Linked DNA regions of Saccharomyces cerevisiae S288C. Changing the gene in region 1 together with any one later gene gives a genetic interaction. Each region holds a gene or a part of one and is shown on either strand. Other genes may lie near its edges. The genes, in order: IPA1, SPO7, UBA1 and PAU13.

The links.
Region 2: mutations in IPA1 (region 1) and SPO7 together harm fitness more than expected from each alone (negative genetic interaction), as found in Saccharomyces cerevisiae (one large-scale study listed by BioGRID).
Region 3: mutations in IPA1 (region 1) and UBA1 together harm fitness more than expected from each alone (negative genetic interaction), as found in Saccharomyces cerevisiae (one large-scale study listed by BioGRID).
Region 4: mutations in IPA1 (region 1) and PAU13 together harm fitness more than expected from each alone (negative genetic interaction), as found in Saccharomyces cerevisiae (one large-scale study listed by BioGRID).

What each region holds. Positions count from the first base shown.
Region 1 is NC_001142.9:693,961-697,520, forward strand, and holds IPA1 (putative polyadenylation protein), read left to right. Parts: upstream 1-1,945; coding exon 1,946-2,989; downstream 2,990-3,560. Other genes in the region: HIR3 (Hir3p), read right to left, coding at 1-1,736; YJR142W (uncharacterized protein), read left to right, coding at 3,181-3,560.
Region 2 is NC_001133.9:134,057-137,204, forward strand, and holds SPO7 (Nem1-Spo7 phosphatase regulatory subunit SPO7), read left to right. Parts: upstream 1-1,797; coding exon 1,798-2,577; downstream 2,578-3,148. Other genes in the region: SWC3 (Swc3p), read left to right, coding at 1-20; MDM10 (Mdm10p), read right to left, coding at 128-1,609; FUN14 (Fun14p), read left to right, coding at 2,858-3,148. UniProt on the Saccharomyces cerevisiae protein: Regulatory component of the NEM1-SPO7 complex which acts as a phosphatase and dephosphorylates the phosphatidic acid phosphohydrolase PAH1. Essential for the formation of a spherical nucleus and meiotic division.
Region 3 is NC_001143.9:37,570-42,740, forward strand, and holds UBA1 (E1 ubiquitin-activating protein UBA1), read left to right. Parts: upstream 1-1,593; coding exon 1,594-4,668; downstream 4,669-5,171. Other genes in the region: TRP3 (bifunctional anthranilate synthase/indole-3-glycerol-phosphate synthase), read right to left, coding at 1-584; ATP-binding cassette a-factor transporter STE6, read right to left, coding at 4,854-5,171.
Region 4 is NC_001140.6:11,388-14,191, forward strand, and holds PAU13 (seripauperin PAU13), read right to left. Parts: upstream 899-2,804; coding exon 536-898; downstream 1-535. Other genes in the region: PXP3 (Pxp3p), read left to right, coding at 1,115-1,462; DFP4 (DUP240 family protein), read left to right, coding at 2,178-2,804.

The DNA.
Region 1 (3,560 bases):
ATATTCCCTAAATGGTTAACAAGAAGTTCGTAAATCGATAAAGCCAAATATTTGCATTGCCTTTTGTTTTTGTTAATAAGTGCAAAAATGTTCGATTCGATTCCAAATACAAACCATAAAACAATTTTTAGAAGCTGAGACTCCCAAAGGTAGTCTATAATGAGACGCCTTCCGTTTCCTTCATCGTAAGTTCCAAGCAATTTGAATAATAATTTCAAACGCACTTGATGGAAGTGAAGATTGCCTGCATTCACTTCGGAAATAAAAGATCTGATGTGATCCGAGTCCAAATCATTTAAATATCTAGGAAAGCTCTCCTTATCATCAAATGCATTAGATTTCAGGAGCGCATTTAGTTGGAATAATTCCTCATTTTCGTTAGAACCACTGGACAAGTAGTCATTTTGGTTAAAAATATCAGTATATCTACTACTCCAAGATTTCAAACATTCATAGAGATCAGTATAGGGAATAAATTTTTCGGGTTGTTTGTCACTAGAGCCAATGATAAATTTGGAAGCAAATGTGTCAAAATCGCAAAAGGGTAGAATGTGAATATATGACAACAACGTGTTGAACTCACCAAAAAATCTTTTATGAACGTCCATAACAAGCTCTTTTGAGTTTTCTTGTTCTCTTTCTTTAAAGCGTTTACTACTTCTTTGAAGAGGCTTCGTGCTATCGATATGTTCATCAGTTCTCTTGTTAGGCCTTGCTTCTTCATTAGTTTGGATATCCGATGGAGCTAAATTCCCACTCTTATCATCTGCTCGTACACTCTCATTATCTTGCTCTTCTTCTTGTCGCTCAGACTCTCTATCTAAAGATGGTGTATTATTAATTGCTTCCGATAGTTCAAACTTAACCGCTTCAATAGGTTCTTCAATTTCGTTATACGGATCCATATTCCTTCCAATAAGAGACGATGTTTTAACGCTGGGTAGTAAGTTTTTCAAAGCCTTCGCAACTTCATCCCATGATTCTTCATTCAAAGTGACATTAAACACGTCCAGCTTTTTCATTATTTCCTCATCTTGCTTTTTCATTTCTGATATTCTAGAAAGAATTGGACCAAAAGCTAGTGGTTCCGGCTTAATATCTTTGTACTTCTCCAAATGATATCTCTCAAAGATTGTGTTATCCGATAAGTTGGGGACTAATAGTTTGTTCGTGAGTTCTACGTAGTTATTCATCATCAGAGTCAAATCGTTCAAAAGAAATTTACGATGTCGCCCCAACAAAAGTGAAAGATTTTCCTGCTTAGTGAATTCATATTCTGATATTAAACGTTCCAACTTGACACTATTAAAGCTCTTGAAGATGCGAGCCAGCAAATCTGTAACTGCAAAATCAGCATCGCTATGTTGAATAGACTCAACCAAGTTCTCAACTGCTTTTAAAATACAATTAACTAGTTCTTGTGAGTTCAACCTTTCATAGTTATTCTCCAAATACAGATGATAGTACATCCCTCTGTTCCTATAACATAGATATCGCAGGTTATCTAGCGTAGGAGAAGAATTGCGATACATGCCCCACCTATCAGGCTTGACGACATCAATCTGGAAGAGCTCTTGGAATTTGCTGTCCGACTTTTCGAAGTCCTTGTTTTTTAGATCAATCAGAGCGTCCTGCAAAATATTAAAACTCTGTTCTATTTGAAGCTCTCTTGAATGCTCCTCTGCTTCATATTGTTCACCTTCGATGTTTGAATTGAGGGCATTGAACATAGACATAATAAGCTTTATCTAGAATCTGTGTTGAGGTTCTAACTCCTTAAAGTGCCTTTACGGACCTGCCTTGCTACCGTCTATTTGTATTTCTGCTCTTCCCAACGTAAACAATTCAATAAATAATTTCGCGATGGCACATAGTAACAAGCTGTTAAATCGAAGTAAAGAAAAGGAAAGTCAAGAAAACAAAGAGAGAAACAAATGCAAGGGTGATGGTTCAATATGTGGTAGAATGGTTACCAAGGATACAGAGCATTTCAGTGGTAGTAGAAGGTTGGAAGCAGGTGGAGATAAAGAACTTGAAGGACACACTCATGAGCATATCTGGTGATGAAGAACAAGTTGAAGATATTTTACTTCCAGTAGAAGTTGAAGAAAAAGTAGACGCTTCTTACAAGTTCAAAAACAGAGGTAAAGACTTAGAATGGATGACGAAGTTAAGAAGCAAATCCTCTAAGATATATGACAGTTCTATCATGTCGCTTCCAGATGGAAGATGGACTAAAGAAGAGCTTCGCTCAGATTCTGATTTCTCGATAGAATGTCTTAACTGTAAGCAAAAAATTATAAGCAAAGATAACTGTCAAGTTTTGAATGATATGCCTTCAGAGTTTTGGTTCGAGTTAATGGATTATTGGCATTGCCACAAACCCGATGTTAAGGAAGACAAGTCTTCCTACACAAGATTTGAAACGCTAAAACCATCTAAAAACGAAATTTTAATTGGAAGCTCTTATTTTCAAGGCACTCCTGCGACTTTTGAAAATGTAGCGACTACAAAGGAAAATGATAATGTTTTATGCATAAAGTGCTCAGCAGTGTTAGGCCAAGTAACTGCTGGTTCGCTTTATAAACTACACAAATGGAAACTGCAGTTAATACGCAGTGGAAACACATACAAATTTCCTCCAGAATGTGACATTACAATTTCTTTAATAAACGTAGTTAAGGCAAACTCTTGTCGTTACGTACTAGTAAAATGTAAAACGGAATCATTGCTAGTTTGGATATTTTCCGTTGACATTGGAGTCACATTGACGGGAAACAAAAGCTTCAAGAGAGCGATGAAGTTGCTTTACACAAACAGCGTTACCACAATAAATCGATGTCTCAATCGACAAGTCGTCGAGGAATTAGATTTCCAAGAAACATCGTTTAATGCTTTTTACAGCGCCCTTCAACATACTAATGCACTTTTACCCTCAAGCATGAAAAAAATTGGTGAATGGACCATTAGCTATACATCACTAATCTAATTTTAAGAACCATTCTCTTTCAAATTTGTACAAATATTGTCATCAAGTAATAAATAGCTTCTTTTTTTTTTTAACATACAGTTGTAGAATTAACTTCGTTGGCCGAAGAATTGCACAACAATAGCGTTTGTTATATTACTAAATATAGGGGCTTTCTTGGGAACGAAAGTGAAACAAACGCTTTTAATACAATGAAGGTCGAGAAATCATCTAAAGGCTTGGAAGTTTTAGTGAGGACACAGGAGGATGATCTAGAGGGGTTCTCTTTCCTGGAGATTATGGACCGCGTAGACCCTTTACCATTAGACTTCGAGAATTACAAAAATTTCAAAGAGGGCATTTACTATATGTGTACACACGATGGCACAAAGATCGGTTTCGTGTTGAAATTTGCGATAAATGAAATGGAGACTGTTTGCTCGGAAATCTTCGAAGAAACCTTCCAATTAGATGAATCTAGACATGAGTTAAGGTTTAAAAGTGAAGATTTTGATCATAGAAACAATCTAATTGACCAATTGGCTCGTAAAATGTATTTAGAATCATCCTTGAGTGGTGTGAAGGGCTGGAG
Region 2 (3,148 bases), on another chromosome or scaffold:
GCAGAAGACACAAAAGATAAGGTGTTCGGTTACTTTATTCTGCTTTAACGCCATTATGATTATACACATTGTATTACTTATTTTTTAACCTGTATATTAAAACCTTTATTTTATTTCACATTACTCATCATGTGGAGTACTGGAATTGTATGCCAAACTTTGCCGGGAAAACTGGTATATTGCCGTTTTCTGTATCAGTTGCTGATATAGATATTGCATTATCATTCTTTTCATCATCGGATAAACTTTCTTGAAAGCCTCTAGTGAATACCAGCTCTGTCCCGGCAGATATTAAAAATCCCCTCCATTTGCCTTCCCATAATAGTTTTAAAGTCTTGTCACGTAATGACGTGCTTAATTTCCAAACACTGGTAAAAATGGAACTATTTATTTTGTTATCAAATTTTTCGATGGTAGATCTTTCTTCATCGATTTTTCTTAATGACGACGAGAATGCATAAGTTAAATCATTTAATAGCTTTTGTTTGTGAACAGGTATATCTAGTGTAGAAGGAATATCGTTAACAGCTGAATTCAGATCCGGTACATTTTCGTGCAGTAGTTTAGTCGCTCTGCTGTTTGGATTTATATCAACCAATTCGTCGGAGATTGGTTCTAATTTATCATTATTGTTTTTATTGGTTTCAAGCAAATGATGCTTTTTTTGCCAAAATTCGCACCCAAATGAAAGATTTGATTCAATCGAATAAAGATTAAAATCATACTTCGCGCAAAAAGTAGAATTTGTCCCTGTCTTGGCCGAATATGTGGAGGATATATGGCCGAATAATGGATTCCAAGATAATGTCAAAGTTAGTGGTCGTCCTGTGTTTGTAGAATGTGTGTAATATCTTAAAGTTGTCGAACAACCGGGGCTTAAACTTACTAACCCTAACCAAAATTCAGCACCAAGCGACAACGAAGAATTATTGTACAGTGAGGTGTTAAACTTGGAAGGCGTGGTAAGGAAATTGTGTAATACTCTATAACCACATAATAGATCACTGGTGGAAAATATCCACTCCTGTAAATTGCGGTGAGAATCTCTTTGAAAATAGCACGTTAAAACGTTTAAGCTTTCTTTGAAACTACTGACACCCTTAAGCATAAATTGGGTTTGTGGACTTAGTCGTTTTATTATCATTGCTTCTAAATCAGAGCTGGGGTAGTACATTCTACCATAATAAAGGGATTTTTTAACAAATTTCGAGTCATGTAGTAATTTCTTGTCATTGTCGACTGTGGTGTTGTCACTACTCAACGTATTCGCACTACTAACACTGAAATTGAGGTTTGGTTGCAATTGTCTGTATGTTTCGGTGGCATCTTGTAATGGGATATCAGTAGAGTTGCGCATGAATTTCTCCAATTGCTGTGCATCGGAGTATAAATAACTCAGAGAACCATTTATCCTGGACCTCGTAGAAAAATCTAAAGAATTGAATGTATTGGGAGTAGATTTGTTGGAAATTTGCAGGTGTATTGCTGAGGGAATTCGGAAATCTAATAATGTTCTCGATGTGGCCGTTATATCCTCGTAGCTATTTTGCGTACTCCAATGGGTGCTCTGATAAAATGCCCTTAGTACTTGGTCCATATAGGGTAGCATCAAGATCGGTCTTCTCTGTTCGTGTCTTTTTCCTAACGTATATTTGCTTTGTTTCTTCACTCAACAATAAAGTCAAAGTAAAATTAAATACTAATTATTCTTAAAAGGGAAGATGCGAAATTTAGCGAAAATCTATTGATTATACACACAAAGGAAGAAAGGTAGTGGAAAGCTAAATAAAGGAGGTCATGGAGCCAGAGAGCATAGGCGATGTGGGGAACCATGCCCAGGATGATAGTGCCAGTATAGTGTCCGGGCCTCGCAGGCGTTCTACTAGCAAGACATCCAGTGCGAAGAATATACGGAACTCCAGTAATATCTCTCCAGCATCGATGATTTTCAGGAATTTGTTGATACTGGAGGATGATTTAAGACGCCAAGCTCACGAACAAAAGATACTGAAGTGGCAATTCACTTTGTTCTTAGCGTCTATGGCCGGTGTAGGCGCATTTACCTTCTACGAACTTTATTTCACTTCAGATTATGTCAAGGGCCTCCATAGGGTTATTTTGCAATTCACTCTTTCTTTCATTTCCATTACTGTAGTTCTTTTTCATATCAGTGGACAATATAGAAGAACTATCGTCATTCCAAGAAGATTTTTTACCTCTACTAATAAAGGGATTAGGCAGTTTAATGTGAAGCTAGTTAAAGTACAGTCTACGTGGGACGAGAAATACACAGATTCAGTAAGATTTGTGAGTCGAACAATTGCTTATTGTAATATTTATTGTTTGAAAAAATTTCTGTGGCTTAAAGACGATAATGCCATTGTGAAATTTTGGAAAAGTGTCACGATACAATCCCAACCGAGGATCGGAGCTGTGGATGTGAAATTAGTCCTCAACCCCAGAGCATTTAGTGCAGAGATTAGAGAAGGATGGGAGATTTATAGAGACGAGTTTTGGGCCAGGGAAGGTGCTAGAAGACGCAAACAAGCGCACGAACTCCGACCTAAATCAGAATGAAAGAGTTGGAGGGCTTCTTCCTTCGAATAAGAGGTCATATTTACCTATGTAAAATTGTAACCATCTATGTTCACACATAAATTATATTTTATACATTATTAGAAGTGAAGCTGTTGTGTCGTGAAAATTTTACAAATCCGTCATTTCATATTTAAGTTTTCCAACAAGTGCTAGAAAACCTAGGGGTTGTTGAAATTGGTTAAACAAGGCATCTTATTATACATACAACAGCATAACGCTAGAGGGGCAAGAAGGAAGAACTTAAAATAATAGGTGTAAAATGACTTTGGCTTTTAATATGCAACGGTTGGTGTTTCGTAATTTGAATGTTGGGAAGCGCATGTTCAAGAACGTCCCCTTATGGAGGTTTAATGTCGCCAATAAATTAGGAAAGCCCTTAACTCGCTCTGTAGGGTTAGGCGGTGCTGGCATAGTTGCTGGTGGCTTTTACTTGATGAATCGCCAGCCTTCTAAGTTGATATTCAATGATTCTTTAGGGGCAGCTGTCAAACAACAGGGTCCCTTGGAACCAACTGTGGGCAACAGTACGGCAATTACCGAGGAAAGGAGG
Region 3 (5,171 bases), on another chromosome or scaffold:
CTGATCATCAGATGACCTTCCTCGGTCAAGATGGATTCCGGATGAAATTGCACACCTTCTACAGTGTACTTCTTGTGTCTTACACCCATGATAATTCCATTTTCGGTACTCGCAGTAACCTTCAAGCAGGATGGTAGGGACGATTCTGTCCCGGCCAATGAATGGTATCTTGTCACAGCAATACCTTGCGGCACGTTCTTGAAAATTCCACAGTTGTCGTGAGAGATTGGGGACGTTTTACCGTGGACAATCTCACCAGCGTAGGCAACTTCACCACCAAATACGTCAAACATGCATTGCTGGCCCATACAGATTCCAAATACAGGAATTTTCCCAGTAAAGTACCGGATACAGTCTCTTGAAATGCCAGAATCTGTCTTTGGGTGGCCTGGTCCAGGCGAGATAAGCAATGTGTCGGGATTCAAGGCGGCAATTTCTGGAACTGTAATTGCATCGTTACGGTAGACGCTCACTTTGGCGCCCTCCTGGCACAAGTACTCGTAAACGTTCCAGGTAAAGGAATCGTAGTTGTCAATTAGAACCACATGCTTATTGATTGGGTTTGTTGCAGCGTGCACAGACATTTTTTTCTTACTTTTATGGCGTTCTATGTAGAACCAAACAGATTTGGTAATGTGTTAATACTGACCAGCTCCTTGTCGAACTTTTTGCGTACCTTAATATCTGCTATAGATTAGAATGAGTCAACGAGCCATTGATGATCATTCAATGATTACTACAAGAGGCATTTTCCGTCGTCAGTGATATGAATAGCACGGTGAGGTCCAGAAGAGATAGTAGGAAGTTTAATACTGGCTCAAAGGCATACTTATATCGACAAGCTAAGCGCAAATACTACTTTGTGGTACATCATCAGCATTGCTTTCGAGAAAACAGCATTTAAAATCAGCCATTTGCTGCGCTTTCTTTAAGCCCTAACAGAAAATAGTTCAAAAAGGCCTATAAGAAGCAAAAAAAGTGAAAAATACGAAAAAATACTCCAGCGGAGGAGTATAAAAGGGAGGAAAATACAAAATGTAGTTGTGTTGTTACGCATCTCAAAGAAGAAAGAAGAAGAAGAAGAAGAGGACGTCGCACTTGCAAGCAAAAACAGCGACTGGCGCGAGAACAACAAACACTAATGCATGTCTCTGTCCAGCAGGAAAAGCGAGCCTTAGTGTTTCTTATTTTCTCGTTCGCCTCACTAGTTTGTAGTAGGGTGGGAGAAACGATGGAGTGGATTGTATGATGAGGAACCAGATAGGGACAACAGATTCTCAAGTGACGAGGAACATCTTTTAAAGCCCAGTTTTTAGTAGAGCTTAGGGCGCCTTTACTGACTATCCACTCCTTGTTAAGCTATGATCTTGTATTCATGTGATTGTAAATAATATTAGAGCTCTTTCTTGAATTGCCATTACGCTTCCATGCGGCATATTCTCGTGTAGTGTGACAAAAGGTGCGGGTGGCAAATAAAGGTAAAAGAAAATGATCAAAAAGGGCCTTTAAGTAGGATGAGCAACCGCCAATCGCTGGATATAAGCAAACAAAAAGTAAGATTAGTAGCAAAGCAAAGAACATATAACTATAGCTATGAGCAGCAATAATAGTGGTCTCTCTGCCGCCGGAGAAATCGATGAAAGTCTTTATTCTCGTCAACTTTATGTGTTGGGTAAGGAAGCAATGTTGAAAATGCAAACCTCCAACGTATTAATTCTCGGCTTGAAGGGGCTAGGTGTTGAGATAGCGAAGAACGTTGTGTTGGCAGGTGTCAAATCTATGACCGTTTTTGACCCTGAGCCGGTTCAATTGGCAGACTTATCAACCCAATTCTTTTTGACCGAAAAGGATATTGGTCAAAAGAGAGGAGATGTGACCAGAGCCAAATTGGCAGAGTTGAACGCATATGTCCCGGTTAATGTGCTGGATTCCTTAGACGATGTTACCCAATTGAGTCAATTCCAGGTCGTTGTCGCTACGGACACTGTTTCTTTGGAAGATAAGGTGAAAATCAACGAATTTTGCCATTCCTCCGGTATTAGATTCATTTCCTCGGAGACAAGAGGGCTGTTTGGTAACACCTTCGTAGACCTAGGTGACGAGTTCACAGTGTTGGACCCAACGGGTGAAGAACCTCGCACTGGTATGGTTTCAGACATCGAGCCCGATGGAACAGTGACCATGCTAGATGATAACAGACACGGGTTGGAAGACGGAAATTTTGTCAGGTTCTCCGAAGTAGAAGGTCTTGATAAGTTGAATGATGGGACCCTTTTTAAAGTTGAGGTTTTGGGGCCCTTTGCATTCAGAATTGGTTCAGTCAAAGAATATGGCGAGTATAAGAAGGGCGGTATCTTCACCGAAGTCAAAGTACCCCGTAAAATCTCATTCAAGTCTTTGAAACAACAACTGTCCAATCCTGAGTTTGTTTTTTCGGATTTTGCTAAATTTGACAGAGCTGCTCAATTGCATTTGGGATTTCAGGCTTTACATCAGTTTGCCGTTAGACATAATGGTGAACTGCCAAGAACAATGAATGACGAAGACGCCAATGAATTAATCAAGTTGGTCACCGATTTGTCCGTTCAGCAACCGGAGGTTCTGGGTGAAGGTGTAGATGTTAATGAAGATTTAATCAAAGAGCTTTCCTATCAGGCAAGAGGTGACATACCGGGTGTCGTAGCATTTTTCGGTGGCCTTGTGGCACAAGAAGTGTTAAAAGCATGTTCTGGTAAATTTACTCCGCTAAAGCAATTTATGTACTTTGATTCCTTGGAATCATTGCCAGATCCTAAAAACTTCCCAAGAAATGAGAAGACTACTCAGCCAGTAAACTCTCGTTACGATAATCAAATCGCGGTTTTCGGTTTGGATTTTCAGAAAAAGATTGCCAATTCAAAGGTCTTTCTTGTCGGATCTGGTGCCATTGGTTGTGAGATGTTGAAAAATTGGGCACTTTTGGGGCTTGGTTCTGGCTCCGACGGTTACATCGTTGTTACGGATAACGATTCGATCGAAAAGTCCAACTTAAACCGTCAGTTCTTGTTTAGACCAAAGGATGTCGGAAAGAACAAATCTGAAGTAGCGGCAGAGGCCGTTTGTGCTATGAACCCCGATTTGAAGGGCAAGATAAATGCTAAAATTGATAAAGTGGGGCCAGAAACTGAGGAAATATTTAATGACTCCTTTTGGGAAAGCCTGGATTTTGTCACCAACGCTCTAGACAATGTCGACGCAAGAACATACGTAGATCGCCGTTGTGTGTTTTATAGAAAACCACTGTTAGAATCTGGTACCCTAGGTACTAAAGGTAATACTCAAGTCATCATTCCAAGATTGACTGAATCATACTCTTCTTCTAGAGACCCACCAGAAAAGTCTATCCCATTGTGTACCCTACGTTCTTTCCCAAACAAGATTGATCACACCATTGCCTGGGCCAAATCTCTTTTCCAAGGTTACTTCACTGATTCCGCCGAAAACGTTAATATGTACTTGACACAACCGAATTTCGTTGAGCAAACACTAAAGCAAAGCGGGGATGTCAAGGGAGTTCTAGAATCCATCTCAGATTCTCTATCTAGTAAACCACACAATTTTGAAGATTGTATCAAATGGGCAAGGTTAGAATTTGAAAAAAAATTCAACCATGATATCAAGCAGTTACTGTTCAACTTCCCCAAGGATGCCAAGACTTCCAACGGTGAACCATTTTGGTCCGGTGCTAAGCGTGCTCCAACACCATTAGAGTTTGATATTTACAATAACGATCACTTCCATTTTGTCGTAGCAGGTGCTAGTTTACGCGCTTATAATTATGGTATTAAAAGTGATGACTCTAATTCTAAACCCAACGTGGACGAGTATAAGTCCGTCATCGATCATATGATAATTCCAGAATTTACTCCAAATGCCAATTTGAAAATTCAAGTTAATGACGATGATCCGGATCCAAATGCCAACGCGGCTAATGGCTCAGATGAAATTGATCAGCTGGTATCATCCCTACCAGATCCTTCTACTTTGGCTGGCTTTAAACTGGAGCCTGTAGATTTCGAGAAAGACGATGACACTAATCATCATATTGAATTTATAACGGCTTGTTCTAACTGTAGAGCTCAAAACTACTTCATCGAAACTGCTGATCGCCAAAAGACCAAATTCATAGCTGGCCGTATTATTCCTGCCATCGCAACAACCACTTCTTTGGTTACTGGTTTGGTCAATTTGGAATTATATAAACTGATTGACAACAAGACAGATATTGAGCAATATAAGAATGGCTTTGTTAATTTAGCTTTGCCATTTTTCGGTTTTTCGGAACCAATTGCTTCACCAAAGGGAGAATATAACAACAAGAAATATGATAAAATTTGGGATAGATTTGATATCAAGGGAGATATTAAATTAAGTGATTTAATTGAACATTTTGAAAAAGATGAAGGGTTAGAAATAACAATGCTTTCTTATGGCGTTTCTCTTCTTTATGCCTCATTTTTCCCTCCAAAGAAATTGAAAGAAAGACTAAATCTACCAATAACTCAATTGGTTAAATTAGTGACTAAGAAAGATATTCCGGCACATGTATCTACAATGATTCTCGAAATTTGCGCAGATGACAAGGAAGGAGAGGATGTTGAAGTTCCTTTCATTACCATTCATCTATGAGTAACTAATTAACCAAAATAAAAAAATAAATTAAATATATACATTAAATATGTATATATATATGTATGACTTTTGACAACTTTTTCTTTGGTAAAAACTTATTATTATTATTATTATTATTATTATTAATGTAGTCTCGAATATTTGAGTATGTTTTAGTTTTTTGTTTTATATTTTCTTTGGGTTTAACTGCTTTGGTTGGAAACAATTTGGAATAATTCCCCGCGATTATTATATAAAGTGTCGAAGTTACCTCGCTCAACCACTTTACCATCTTTAAGAACTGCAATCGAGTTACAAGACCTCATCATTTGTTCACTATGCGTTATAACCATTGTTAGTAGAGCAGGTGGACCTTTTTTGACGATCTCATTGATGATAGAGGAGCTGACAGAATCCAAGGCTGAAGTACACTCATCTAAAATCAGAATTTTTGATTTTCTCAGAAGTGCTCTGGCTATGCAAAGCCTTTGCGCTTGTCCACCTGACAGTAAAGTTGTATC
Region 4 (2,804 bases), on another chromosome or scaffold:
CGACCGATTGGTTCTTCAATTGGTATAGCTAATAACTATAGCTGGACTAATTAAGACTTCAAGGACGTCTTACGCAAGCGTGGGTGATTTTATTATTAAACAATTTTTCTGTCTCTATACGCATATATGTTCTATAACATAAATATGTAATGGATACTAACCTTTTTCTGTGATTAACTTACTCTTTGCGTTACACCTCCATCTGACTCATAAAACAGGAAGACTCAGATTTATTAACTTTAGCATTTACGCCGCAAATGGTAAATGCTCCGGCCCGATACCCTGAAATAGCAACATGTACGAAAGAAGGTATTCAACTGAAGCCTTTTAGACAGACAAGACTATTGGATTATCAAGGCACTATATTTTACCACTACAGTAAATACTTCTGATAAGAACGGCATGAATAATCAAGTAGGTTTTATAATACTGGTATACATTAATATAATCAACTATTTATACTATCAAAAAAAAAAGCTTTTTTTTTTTTGTTTTTTTAAGTTTTATGGAATTTCATTCGTAAAGGCGTTTGTCTCTAGTTTGTGATAGTGTAGATACCGTCCTTGGATAGAGCACTGGAGATGGCTGGCTTTAATCTGCTGGAGTACCATGGAACACCGGTGATCATTCTGGTCACTTGGTCTGGGGCAATACCAGTCAACATGGTGGTGAAGTCACCGTAGTTGAAAACGGCTTCAGCAACTTCAACCGGGTAGGTTTCAGTTGGGTGGGCGGCTTGGAACATGTAGTATTGGGCCAAGTGAGCTCTGATATCAGAGACGTAGACACCCAATTCAACCAAGTTGACTCTTTCGTCAGATTGAGCTAGAGTGGTGGTTGCGGAAGCAGTAGCAGCGATGGCAGCGACACCAGCGGCGATTGAAGTTAGTTTGACCATTGTATTTGTTATGTTTGTTATGTTTGTTAGTGCTGATATAAGCTTAACAGGAAGGGAAGGAATAAAGACATATTCTCAAAGGCATATAGTTGAAGCAGCTCTATTTATACCCATGCCTTCATCAGTCATCACTACTTAAACGATTCGTTAACAGACGCTCATTTAGTACCTCGCATATTCTCCATATCTCATCTTTCACAGAATTTGATTATCACTATGAAGATGTTATTGTTTTTAAACGAGGCATGCATCTTTATAGATTCCGTATGCGAAGGTATTGTTTTCTGGGGCCTTTGTCTATTCGTATGCGCAGAATGTGGGAATGCCTATTATAGGGGTGCCAGAGTGCCTTATAAAACCCTTTTCCGTGCCTTTGAAGTTTCCGTTTTCGGTCAAAAAGAATATCCGAATTTTAGATTTGGACCCTCGTACAGATTCTTATGTTTAAGCCCATATTCAATTTGCTGTAAACAGCCTCCAATGGAAGAGGTAATACTATATTATCCCTCTCCTGATAGTTTAATTAAAAATAGAAAACGTGTATTGGGAGTCGCTTATTTGTAGAGTTTGTAGTTTTTAAGCGTTCTCAGGAAATTCATTGACGCAATTACGTAATTGTAGGCCGCTGAGAAGCAGCTAGTATTGGAAGAGCCGCGTATGGTAAAAAAAAAATGTTGAGTTCAGTTTGTAGCAGTACTACAACTCTGTGCGGTGGGAAAAATTTATTCTTCGAGGCACAGTATTTTTCTTCTAGCTAGATATAAAGAAAAGTGAAAAAGGCAATATATGGCGCTAATGTATTTTATTCAATTAAAAACTTTCTGTAGGAAATGGTATTAATAGTTGGTATTCCTTGTAGACAAAACCATCGCTATATTCATGGTGACGGCTCATCTCTAAAGCTTCTTAAATGTACAGTCAGCTAAGTGTTCTCATAAGAAAGGGTTTGAAGAAGTCTCCGATAGCGTGCTTTAGTATGTTGACGAAAGAAATCAAGATCTAGCTTATATGTCATAATGAAGTAAGTTATATTGGAGTTTTTCTGGTAAATTCTACAAAAGTTATGCAACATACTTATTTCTGTCCTCTTCTTACTCGTCTTGCGGCCAAAACTCGAAGAAAAACATACGGGCCAAGAAAAATGATGCAATCCTCCCAGTTCTAGATATTCCCGCTTTTAAGTCCCGAATTATAACAATATAAAAAGGATATAGAAAATGTAATTGTTAACTTGTGGTATAAAGACAAATTCAAAAGCAAGTGAGGGCCCGCTAAGGCTATGAGTTCAGAATTATTAATATCTAATTCTAAACCAAGACCAGAAGGATTAAGAAAATTATGCGAAGGTGAGACAGTGATCCTTCCAAGGGACATAACCCCCAGCAAATGCGCTTATTTCTTAAAACAGAATATCGTATTCATTTCATATATTTTCATCCATATTATTATTACCATAATCTTAAACCGCCTGGCATTATCTGCACACGGTAATACTTTGATTATTATCTTAGCGGCTTTACTAATTACAATTTCACTATTCCTTTTACTCCTCTTACCTTACTTAAGCTGCTCAAGATATAAGTTAAGATGTTTAGATGATGATTGTAAGTTCAAACTATTAGCGGAAGTCATTACACATAAACCTAACATGGACTTGAGCACATGGGACCGGATTGCATATGACATGAACCAATTTGTATATGACCGTCGTATATGTGCAGATAGATCTTTTTTCTACGATGGCAGTTATTGCTATCAGGTTTTTAAAAAGTTGGTGGCTACCCCGTACCTTGTGAATTCCAATATGAATAGTATATATGCTGATCTGGAGATGAGAAGTAATGGAGCAACCAACATTAACGATTCTGGTAATAGTTCATTACACATCGAATTGGGCACTTATATT